Elephas maximus indicus: one gene and its partners. The protein of the gene in region 3 purifies or fractionates together with the protein of the main gene of each other region. This does not show direct contact. Links are inferred from orthologs where the notes say so. Each region holds a gene or a part of one and is shown on either strand. Other genes may lie near its edges. The genes, in order: COPS7A, KLHL15 and COPS5.

Region 1 (3,751 bases), on a different chromosome or scaffold from region 3:
GGCTTGTTTCCACCCCCAGGCCTTTTTGCTATTTCCCCAATCCACAACGCCCTCTTCCTCCATCTGCTATTCAATTCCTACCCTAAATTCATGGCTAAAAATATTGAGTGCCCACTACCTGAAGGACACACAGCAGACATTGCAAATTGTGTTGTCTGGCCCTCTGAGTATGCTTCATATTTCTAATCAAGATTCCTGCCTGAGCCTCACTCATCCTGACAGCTACATGGCTGAGGCAGGCATGTGAATTTGTGGCCTCTGCTTCAGACCCACCTCACCTGGGAGGCTTACATCACCCAGTCCAGCCCACTCAGATGTCCTCTCCTCCTACCACTGGTACTTCATCAATCAACCTCCACCTAAGCTTGTTACCTAGCAATACCTTTCTTGTCAACAAGATTATAGGCCCAATCTCTGGTATTCCGCTCAGGATCTAGCGGAGCTATGCATGTAGTTGCATCTTTCAATAAATACTTGCTAAATGAGTGGCTTAGAGACTTATATCCATTCATCCTATCTCTTCACCTGGAATGTAAGCTTCAGAAGGGTAAGCACTATGTTTTGTACTTTTCTGGTGTTCCCAGATGACTAGCAGAGTGTTAAACAGGCACTCAATAAATACTTCTTCCACTGCAGAGGAAAGCAGGGAAAGAAGGTAAGAGTTTTCTCTGTACCACAGAGTGATCCTAAAAGGCTAAATCCATTGACTCAATCACAGGCCTTCAAAAACTTGCTTCAGTTGGTCCACTGTCATAGCATCTTAGGACTTGAACAGTGTCATGTATCTTGGCAACACTCACTCTTTTTAAACTCTTAACTTTCCCACTGTATTAGTAGCAACTTGCGATATCTTTGGGAGAAAAGACACCTTCTACGTTACCTACCTCAAATGAACAGCACATGGTGCAAAGGAGGGAGAACAGGGCATACTAATTTAGTATGTTCACTCCTCCCATCTGTACCAGGCTTTATGCTTTCCCATAATCTCACTTGATTCCCACATTAACGGTAAGGAAGGCAATATCATCAATATCATCTCCATTTTCAAGAAAGAAAATAAAAGTGACCTGATCAAAGCGATATGTTTACTAAGAGATACTACATTGGTGGAGACAGGCTGGAACTCAGGTCTCCTGTTATGAGTCACGTGCTCTTTTGCTTAAAAGTCAAAAATACTGGATTTTACAAATCCTTCATCTCACAAGGGAAGCTTAGAAGTTTACCTGCTTGCTTACTTTTGCAAGCTGCCATCATCATCATATTCGTATTCAACTGAATGGTTACATAGCTGCAAAATGAGCATTACCCACCCATTCTCAAATTCAAACTTTAGCCCCAAGCTTCACTAAGAGCTATCCAGGCCAGGAACCCACCTCTCTAACGTTGGGCATATCCAGCAGTTCCCCAAAGACATAGACACCAGGGGCCTCCAGCACCTGGTGGATGAGTGTGGCCAGTGCTGCCCCCTTGGCCGACTTGGCCAGAAGCAGAAACTGCTCCTGGTTCTGCCCTGTCACCTTCACCTCCCCACTCATGGCTGCACTGAGTTGGAGGCAGCTGGGCTCAGGATGTCTGGAGCTGCAAGGAAAGACGTTGTGAAGCTGGAGGTCTCTGAACGCTGGCAGGATGGGAAGATCATGGGGGTAGGGCTGAACTGCAGAGGCACTGAGTCGCTTCTACAATGAGGACTCAAGAGATAGAGTGGTTAGAACGGGGATCTAGGAATCCTAAAGCTGGTCGTTTCGATGGGAACACGAATGAGACAGGAATGCCACACCTACCTTCTCCCCCGACCCCTGGGCGCTAACCCCAAGCCTCACCACGTGCATCCCATTGAACCCCAAGGCACAGGTGCAAAGGGGAAAGGAGTGTCACATGGTGTCCACCCCACCAACGAAGATCCCTCGATTCGCCCCTTGTGCCCCCAACCACGTGACCTTACCCCCACGCCCCTTACGCGTGGCTCCGCCCCTCCTTAAAGAGGCCTCCCTGGAATCGTAGGGTCCGGACGACTGCCCGTCCTACCCTCGGTCAGAGTCTGTGGGCCGCTACCTGGAAGCTTCGTCTTCCAGCGCACCGGGCGGGGCCGCGGCTCCGTCACCTCCGGCAGCTGTTCCGAGCCTTTCCTGCCACCTCTCCTCCCAGGGTCGCTCTAGCTACTAAACTCTATGGACGGTTTCCGACCGTACTTCCGCTCCTAGGGGCAGGTTTCGGGCGGGACATGCTGGGCCCTGCTTTCCGACCATTGAAGCTCCAGTGAGGGACGCAGGCATCCTACTCTCTGATTCGTTGCAGGGAGAAGAATGACTTGTGCCTTTTTTTTTTTTCCACTGTTTCGATAAAACTATTGGTGAAAGGGCGGTGGATGCTAAAGGTAGACAACCTTCGATCCCTTTGAGTGTCGGGCTGTGTGTCAGCTCTAAGCTGTCGGAGGCCTGGAGACCCAGGGTGCAGCTTGTGCCTAGAGCAAGAGGGAAGCTGTAGTGGAAGGAAAGAGGGAGAACGAAAGAAGAAAAAACAAAAAACGGCAGGATGAAAGAGGAAGGGGGACAATAATAATAGAAGGTGAGCGGCAGAGATCACCTGGGTCGTTCAACCACTAATTTTTTGAGGAACAGGGGAAAAGAAGTAGAAAAGGGAAAGGAAATAATAAAAAAAAAAAAAATAGCTAACATGTATTGAGTGCTTATTTTTGTTTGAGCATCTTTTAAATTTTTTATTCTGTTGAATTCTTAAAACTACTGCCTTCTCAGTCAGACTCCGGGACCCCCTCTGCCCTGAGTACAACATGTGCTTGGAGAGTGACGCTTTCCATACGTTGACTCTTAATTCCTGGAGGGGGGGGCCCTACGTGGAAGAGAGGCATATGTTGTTATTCTCATTTTACAGATAAGGAAGTTGAGCTTCAGAAAAATTCAGGGATTTGCCTGGAACCCAGGTCTTTTCAAATCCAAAGCTGTCTTTCCACTTCACCTTGATACTTTAGGGGGAAAAAAAAAACCCTGAGATTTCTTTAGGAGAAGTAGTGGTAGTGAGTGGATGAGATGAAACAAAGTCGAGAAGGAATAAAAGGCATAATAAAATATGCAAAGTCTGAAGGGACCAAAGAATTTAATGAGCCCAATCTTATCACTTTAAAACTATAGGAGAAAAGAACCAACATTTGTTCTATTATATACCAGGTGTTTTTTGGATCGATTTTTTAAAAAAGACGCTGTGTCTTTACAGAAAGCATTTAAGGTGCCTATTAATATCTCACTTTACCTGTGAGGACACTGGATCATTAAGGAACAAATAATTTCTTAAAGATCACCAGTAAGTGGTAGAGCTAAGATCCAAATGCGAGTCTGTCTGATTCTAAGACTATGTTAAGAAACGGAGGAAAGAAAAGCAGAGAGGAAAAGAGAAGAGAGGAGGAAATGGACAACCTGAGATACAGTCCTGATTCAGACTTAAGCTAGCTGGGGCCTTAAAGCAAAGCATCATGCCACCTTGTGATCTCTTCTGTACCTGCGAAGTGAGAGATTATATGACAGAATCTCTAAGGCTAATTTTGATTCTGATGTTTTACAGCTCTATGAGAGAAAGACAAGAACAAGGAGAAAAGAAAATGAGGAACAGTTACTAAGTAGAACAAGAGGTGAATGTGGAGAAAGAAATGAGAGAGGGCTGGACTAAAGAAGTGAGGTTTAAAACAGCAGAGAGAACAGGAAAAGGAGTAGAGGTGATAAAGACAAGATAAATGAATAGA
Region 2 (3,751 bases), on a different chromosome or scaffold from region 3:
CCCCTTGGTGGGTCACAGGCACCTCATCTGCATAGTCCCACCTAGTCATTTGGTGGGAGTTACAAAGACTATGGCTAGAAGGGCCATATTAAGTAATTCACCATACCACAACATGTCCACATAAAAACTTGTACACGAATGTCCGCAGCAGCATTATTCATAATAGCCAACAGGTAGAAACAATTGAAACATCCATCAGTTGGTGAACAGATACACAAAATGTGGTACATCCATACAATGGAATTGTATTCCGCAATAAAAAGGAGCAAACTACTACTATGTGTTACAACATGGATGAACCTCAAAACCAATATGCAAGGTGAAAGAAGCCAGAGGCAAAAGACCATATGTTACATGATTCCATTTATATGAAAAAGCGAATCTATATACACAGAATGTCTCTGAGGTTGGAATGGGGACGGACTGCAAATGGACACCAGAGATCTCTTTGTGGTGAGTGAAAAGTTCTAAACCTGGATTGTGGCGATGGTTGTACAACTCTGTGAATTTACTAAAAATCTTTGACTTGTATACCTAACACAGGTGAATTTTATGGTACGTAAATTTTACCTCAATAAAGCCAATTAAAAAAACAGTATATAAAAAAAGTATACTCAGACTTGGCTATGAATTTCAGCTCTGCTGCTAGCTGTGGAAACTTGGATATGTTACCTAAGCCTTTTGGGACTCAGTTTCCTCCTCTGTAAAATGAGAATAATAGTATCTACCTCATTATAAAGAAAACAAAAATCCACACAACTGACCAATAAGCAACATCATGATAAACAGAGAAAAGATTGAAGTTGCCAAGGATTTCATTTTACTTGGATCTACAATCAACGCCCATGGAAGCAGCAGCCAAAAAATCAAACAACACGCGCATTGGGCCAATCTGCTGCAAACAACCTACTTCAAGTGTTAAAAAGCAAAGATGTCATTTTGAGGACTGAAGCATGCCTGACCCAAGCCATAGTGTTTTCAATTGCCTCATATGTATGTGAAAGACAGACAGTGAATAAGGATGACTGAAAAATTGATGCCTTTGAATTATGGTGTTGGCGAAGAATATTGAATATACCATGGACTGCAGTAAAGAATGAACAAATCTGTCTTGGAAGAAGTACAGCCAGAATGCTCCTTAGAAGCAAGATGGTGAGACTTCGTCTCATGTACTTTGGACATGTTATCAGGAGGGACCAGTGCCTGCCTGGAGAAGGACATCATGCTTGGTAGAAGGTCAGCAAAAAAGCAAAAGACCCTCAAGGAGATAGATTGACACAGTGGCTGCAACAACAGGCTCAGACATAGCACAGACTGTGAGGATAATGCAGGACCTGGCAGTGTTTCATTCTGTTGTACACAGGGTCACTGTGAGTCGGAATCAACTTGATGACACCTAACAACTTCACTGGATTGTTGTGAGGATTAAACCAATATTTGGTAAGTAGGTGTCAACAATTTTAGGTGCCAATAATTTTAACCACTATTTTCATTAATTTGAAATTAATTATTGCTTCCTGTGCCTTTTTACTTCCAATAAAAATTTCTGACAATGAAGCATAATATTTAGTTATTTTCTAGGTATTATCAATGAGTTTTATTTTATTGAGATGTAGTTTCCATACTATAACATTCACCCTTTTAAAGTATAGAATTCAGTGGTTTTTATTACAGTCACAAAGTTGTGCAACCATCACTATCTAATTCTGGAACTCTTTCACCACCTCAACGGGTTTTCTTAATTGGCTGGTATAACTATTTAGAAGCTAAGATAAATAAGAATTAAACATCACCATCCAAGTACAATATAGCATAGTTTCCACCATCACTTAGCCAGTGAATGCACTCATTGAAACACAGCTATCTATTTAGGTAAACCGTTGTACCTAAAATTTATTATATAAAACACATATTCATTTTAATCTTAAGTACTCAATGGGTACATATAACCTAAATTTTTATGTACCTCTCCTTATATCTTTTTTCCAGTTAATAATGAATACCTGTTTACAACAGAAAAACTGCAAAGCATAAAAATGTATGGAGTAAAACAAAAAACACCCAACTTCTTTTTAACACGCGATGAAAAAAGGTTTGAGTCTCAAAATTGTTTAAATTTTAAAATGACGATTGGTAATCTTCCCATTAAAGAAGTGGGTTTTCTTGGACCTGCTTTTTTAAAAACTTACTTTGGGCGCTCTTATGACACCTAGCTTCTCCCCGAAGCAAAATCCTTTCGGAGTGCACTCTAGTGCCACCACGGACCACCTCTCAAGGCCCTAGAGACCTCCGTCTGGGAACAACTTAGGAACTTTGCTTTTCCTATCCGGGCGCCCCTGAGCCCTTCCCCTAACCTCCACGCGAGGGCGCCCTCCCCGAAGCCTGACAGGCGACGCGCGGCGCCTTGAGCGTAGCCCGCTCAGCACGCGGCCTCCTCCCAGCCACGAGCACCGTTGCAGGCAGCGCGGATCCCGAGCCGACTTCGCCTTATTAAATTGTACCCAGGAATCGGTAAATAACGACAGTCTCTCTATATTCTAGTTTCACACCCCAGATAAAATTCTCAAGTTTCGGCAAACCGGTTCGGGCAACGCTCCCGGAAACGGAAATAGCTTCTCCCTTACCAGCGCGGAGCGTCGTGTTACGTTCCCCTCCAGGCCAAAGGACCTTTTCTGGAGCTGCCTTAAATGTTGCCTGCCCAAATAGCCAACAGTTCTGCGATTAGTAGATCCCGACACTTTGCATTGTGTTTCTTAGTAAGCCGACTAGCACTGAATGAGCCTAAGCGGAGAGAAGTCCAAGCAGTGAGGTCCCTGCTGCATGGGTCATCCGCCTTCGCTAGGCTTGGGCCCTGGTCTGTCTTCCCGCCTCGACTTCCCCGCCCCTCACCAGAGGGCTTGCGTGTTGTCAGCCGACAGCCTGGCCGACTTCCTTCCTCTCTGGGCAAGATGGCGGGGGGCGAGGCGGGAGTGACTCTGGGGCAGTCACATCTTTCTAGCCAGGATCTCGCCACCTTGGTGAGGTTTCGCTTTGGGAGGACGCGGAGTGAGCGTGGGAGTGGGGATGGTCATGCCTCCCGGGAGGCGTTGGGGCGAGGCAGTGCCGGGCCGTCGGGAGCCTGAGTTAGGAGGGAGCCCCGGATCCGAGCGGCCTGCGTCGCGCTCGCGCCACCGCTTGCACTTCGACCGGTCTGCGAGCTGGCTGTGGGTGTGCGCGCTCGTGGGACCGCGAGCTCCTGAAGGATTCGGATGGAACGTCACGGAGTGTCATTAAGGCTTTGACCAAACTCTGAAGGCTTGGGAAGGGAGCATCTCCACGGCCCTCAGTGCTAAAGCTTCCAAAGTTGGGGGCCTCGGGCCTCCTGATTTCTCATAGAGTGCAGGCGTAGTCTTTTGTTGTGTAACGATTAGGGGTGCTTCGGGCTTTCCAGTCATCAGAGCACAAGATTGCTTGTATGGGAAAAGCGCTTCAGAAGTAATAGAGAGCTGTACAGATGGTGATGAGCTATAGGTAGCAAACGTAAAGTCAGATGGAAAACCCTGTTTTGTCTTCTGTGCAGTGGTTTATAATAAAATGTTTCGTTGCAGGATGTTGCCAAGTTGACACCCCTTTCACACGAAGTCATCAGCAGACAAGCCACAATTAACATAGGTAAGAATAACTTGGAGTCCTGACGTGCTTGATCACTGGCAAGTAATTTTAACTTCTCCCTTGGTGTGATTAATTGAATTATATGAGGATTCAGGTATAT
Region 3 (3,751 bases):
TAACTCTTATTAGAATTATCAACCTCTCTGTGGCACTACCAGGAGCCCTGGTGGTACAGTGGCTAAGAGCTCGGCTGCTAACCAAGAGGTCGGCAGTTTGAATCCACCAGCTGCTCCTTGGAAACCCTATGGGGCAGTTCTACTCCGTCCTATAGGGTTGCTATGAGTCCAAACTGGCTCGATGGCAATGTATTTTTTTTTTTTTATGGCACTACCAAAGAACACTGTATTGAAAGGTATGTTTCCCTCTGTGCTATAAGCCTCAAAATTAAAAATGTAGCCCTAATATTCCTAGTTTCCTTATGATCGTTATTCTAGAATTTGTCATCTGTGGATGGAGCTAAACAACTCTTGAATAAAATTACATTTCTGGTCTCATTGATGAATCCCAAGATGTTAGGCTGAATTTAATTAGAAATATAATCAGTGAGGCAAACCAATACAGTTTCCAAATGGACTACATCAACCTTAAATGCACAGCCTGCTACAGAAGTAAGCAGACAACAGGCAACGTAAGAAGTCTGAATAGAGCAGTCAAAGTCTCTGAGAAGGCTTTTTAGATGACCTCCCACAGAAAATATTCAAGTTTAATTCTCAAACTTTGCCAGATTTCAATCACAAGCTGAAAAATATGGAGACCTAGTCTTAGGAATCAGAGACATGAATTAAAATCTTGGCTCCTCTGTTTACTGGGGGGAAAAAAAAAGAAGGCACAGTTAATGTGCTCCTGTTACATACATTCTAGACCCTTTTTATACATTACATGATATAATCTTTATTAAACCAACAAGAGGTAAGTCTTATCTCTGTTTTATAGAAAAAAATTGAAGACTCAAAGAGAATAAGTAATTTTCCCAAGGTCAATCAACTAGTCACTGCCAACTCTGAGATGTGACCTTGAGTTGTGTTCACTGCTCAGTGTCATTGTGAGGTAAGTTACTGAATATATTTACTTGTATTCTTATTTACAAAAAAAGAATATATAGCACTAGGTTGTCAGGAAGATTAAATGACATATGGAAATTCCTACCTAGCTCAGTGCTCGGCTCTTATTAGGTACTCAGTAAACACTGCTGAATCTAGATACTGTCAATTAAAGCCAGCCTTGTACAAAACTGGGGAAAAAAACCCAGTGCCATGGAGTCACTGATGGAAATATAGTTTCTGTGGGTGACCACAGCTCTCCTTCTTATCTGTCCATTGTTAGCTGCTATGGAGTAGGCCCAGACTCAGTCACATCATGCACAATGGGATCTGACCATTGTGATCCATAGGGGTTTCTAGTGGTTGGTTTTTCAGTAGTAGATCTGCCAGGCCTTTCTTTCTAGTCCATCTTAGTCTGGAAGCTCCACTGAAACCTACTGAGCATCATACCAATATGCAAGCCTTCCCTGACAGATGGGTGGTGGCTTTGCTTGAGGTGCATTGGTGCGAATCGACACAGGTCTCCTGTGTGGAAGGTGAGAATTCAACCGCTGCCTAGATAGTAACTTTCTGTGTTCTTTTTACTGTCTATCAAAATCTTCCCTCAGGAAAGTATAAATGCTATGATGTGATGAACACTCGACTTGTCTTTATTCCCAGGGATACATCTACTTTGTAAGAGGCAAAGTGGCTTAAGCTCTTATTGATATAATTTCTGGTTTATGGTAAGTGGTGCCTGGAGTAATATTTGGGGAGATTGGGTGCCTCTGACATTACTACCAGCAAACAAAAACTATTACACCTCTCTAAAAGACAGCTCATAGCTATTTTAGAGACGGCTCCAGTCACCAGCTGGCATCAGCCGAAGGCCCCACCTTGGTAAATGTCCACACAGGTTTCATGGCAGAGTGTGTGGCATATATGATAATATGGATGCTGAGACGTGTCAGCCCAAATCACCGCTTCTCATTCCCCACCTCCATCCCCCGGAGGTAAATGGGTCAAAGAGACAGAAGGGGGAGTCGCGGCAGGCCTCAGCGGAGGAACTTAGGCTCTAGCAGCAGAGATAAAGGTAAACCGAAATCTCTCAGGTGCACAGTCCCTCCCCTCCCAGACCATGAAAACACAAGGCAAAGCTCTCCACCCCCTTCAACTCCCACTCCCCCTGGGCCTCCTCTTAAATCCCCGCCGCCCCTTCCCTTCCCAGCGTCTCGCCAGGGACTTCCTCACTCCTTAGTCCAGGGCTTCGCCGCCAGGATTTCCTGCTGCTGTTTCTTGTCGTATTTGTAGATTTCATCGATACTCTGAGCTTCTTGCATGTTGTTGGCCAATTCCCAGGTTTTCTGGGCCATACCACTCCCAGACGCCGCCATGGCCAAGGAGTCGGAGTTGTTGCCTCCACAACCAAGACGCAACTTTACCCCACTAGGTCTCGGGGCGAGGGCTTCCAACCCTCCCCCCTCACCGGTCTTACACTCTTACAAGACTCTCGAGGCTGCCATGACACCTAGAACCGGAGGTGAAGGTGGTACAGACCATTCGGGGATGGCGGGGGCCCTTCGGGGAAGCGACGGTATAAACAGCAGTTACAATAATAGGGAAAGAGAAATATCCTTGTGGCTGAAATGAGAACATATCCACTCGAAATTAGAGGTGTGAGTTAGAACAAACACAATAATCGGGCTTGGGAATGGTACAGCCTTCCACACCGGAAGAAGGTCATGCACGCGTTATGCCAGCACTTGGAATTAGCCTTCTTTGTTGGTACTGCGCAGGCTCGATCTCCGCCATATTAAAAATGGGTAGGGCCTCAGCCATAATAGGGGGAAAAAGTGTCTTTGTGAGGTTGTAGGTTATCTTAAATAAGATAGGTTCCCTGAATAACTAAAAAATAAGGATGTCTGTGGAAGGCTGAGATGTACCTAGTTCCGGATGCTGGTTGAAAGGAAGATAAAGTCATCCTGTTTTACTTCAAGATGACTAACTGCACATGCGTAAAATGAAGTGGGCGGCTTGGCGCACCGTTTTCAGATGCACGTCCTCTAGTGTTGGGAGTAGGTATGGAACCATGTGGACTTCAGTGGTTGTCCCTCTTGGCTTGTTTGTAAAAATTAGCATCTGTATTCAATGTATTATGAGCTAGTTACTGTCCTGAAAATGTCCAATACTGTTTTTATAATAGATACAGTTATATCTTCAATACCATTCTGTGAAACCTCTTCTGACCCTGAGTCCGAATAAAATTTTAGCAACCTGTTTTCTTCCAACAGTTAATAATAAAAAAAAAAAAAACCAGGTCTAATTATTCCGTTTATTAGTTTACTCGTTTTAGGTCAACCCCACCCTCCACCCCAACCCCGATTCTAAGTTCCAAAACGGGGGACCGGGTCTGTCTTATTCCTTGTTTTATCTCTAACACCTAACATACTGTTTTGTGTCTTGGAGTGGATTCCAACTCTAGCGACCCTGTATGACAGAATAGAATCGTCCCATAGGGTTTCCTGGACTGTAATCTTTGTGGGAGCGGATCGCCATACCTTTTCTTCTGCAGAGCGGCCGGTGGGTTCAAAGTGATGACCTTTTTGGTTAGCAGTTGAGTCTTCAACCACTGTGTCATCTTGGCTCCTTCCTAGCATATTAGATGTTCAGTAAATTTTTGTTTAAAAAAAAAATATTGTTAAAGCTGTTCACCTGGTTCCTCTGCTCCTCTTTAGCTTCATCTCTCTTTAGTCTCCCCCCCAAAAACTTCTCGTTCTTAAAATACCAATGCATTTATTTTGGGTTTGCACATGCGATCACCACCGCTTGAAATTCTCTTCCCTGACAT

What was found.
Region 1: the proteins of COPS5 (region 3) and COPS7A purify together in Homo sapiens (affinity purification with mass spectrometry; 19 studies listed by BioGRID and IntAct, counting the BioPlex papers as one, with this or other methods). This does not show direct contact. The link is inferred for Elephas maximus indicus from reciprocal best matches to the Homo sapiens genes COPS5 and COPS7A.
Region 2: the proteins of COPS5 (region 3) and KLHL15 purify together in Homo sapiens (affinity purification with mass spectrometry; 3 studies listed by BioGRID and IntAct, with this or other methods). This does not show direct contact. The link is inferred for Elephas maximus indicus from reciprocal best matches to the Homo sapiens genes COPS5 and KLHL15.

What each region holds. Positions count from the first base shown.
Region 1 is NC_064822.1:63,482,480-63,486,230, reverse strand, and holds the start of COPS7A (COP9 signalosome complex subunit 7a), read right to left. Parts: upstream 2,165-3,751; 5' UTR 2,026-2,164; exon of another isoform or gene 1,943-2,025; intron 1,579-1,942; 5' UTR 1,536-1,578; coding exon 1,374-1,535; intron 1-1,373.
Region 2 is NC_064846.1:155,089,985-155,093,735, reverse strand, and holds the start of KLHL15 (kelch-like protein 15), read right to left. Parts: upstream 2,862-3,751; 5' UTR 2,625-2,861; intron 1-2,624. Other genes in the region: EIF2S3 (eukaryotic translation initiation factor 2 subunit 3), read left to right, coding at 2,949-3,017, 3,588-3,651. UniProt on the Homo sapiens protein: Substrate-specific adapter for CUL3 E3 ubiquitin-protein ligase complex.
Region 3 is NC_064833.1:75,497,601-75,501,351, reverse strand, and holds the start of COPS5 (COP9 signalosome complex subunit 5), read right to left. Parts: upstream 2,580-3,751; 5' UTR 2,298-2,579; coding exon 2,155-2,297; intron 1-2,154. UniProt on the Homo sapiens protein: Probable protease subunit of the COP9 signalosome complex (CSN), a complex involved in various cellular and developmental processes.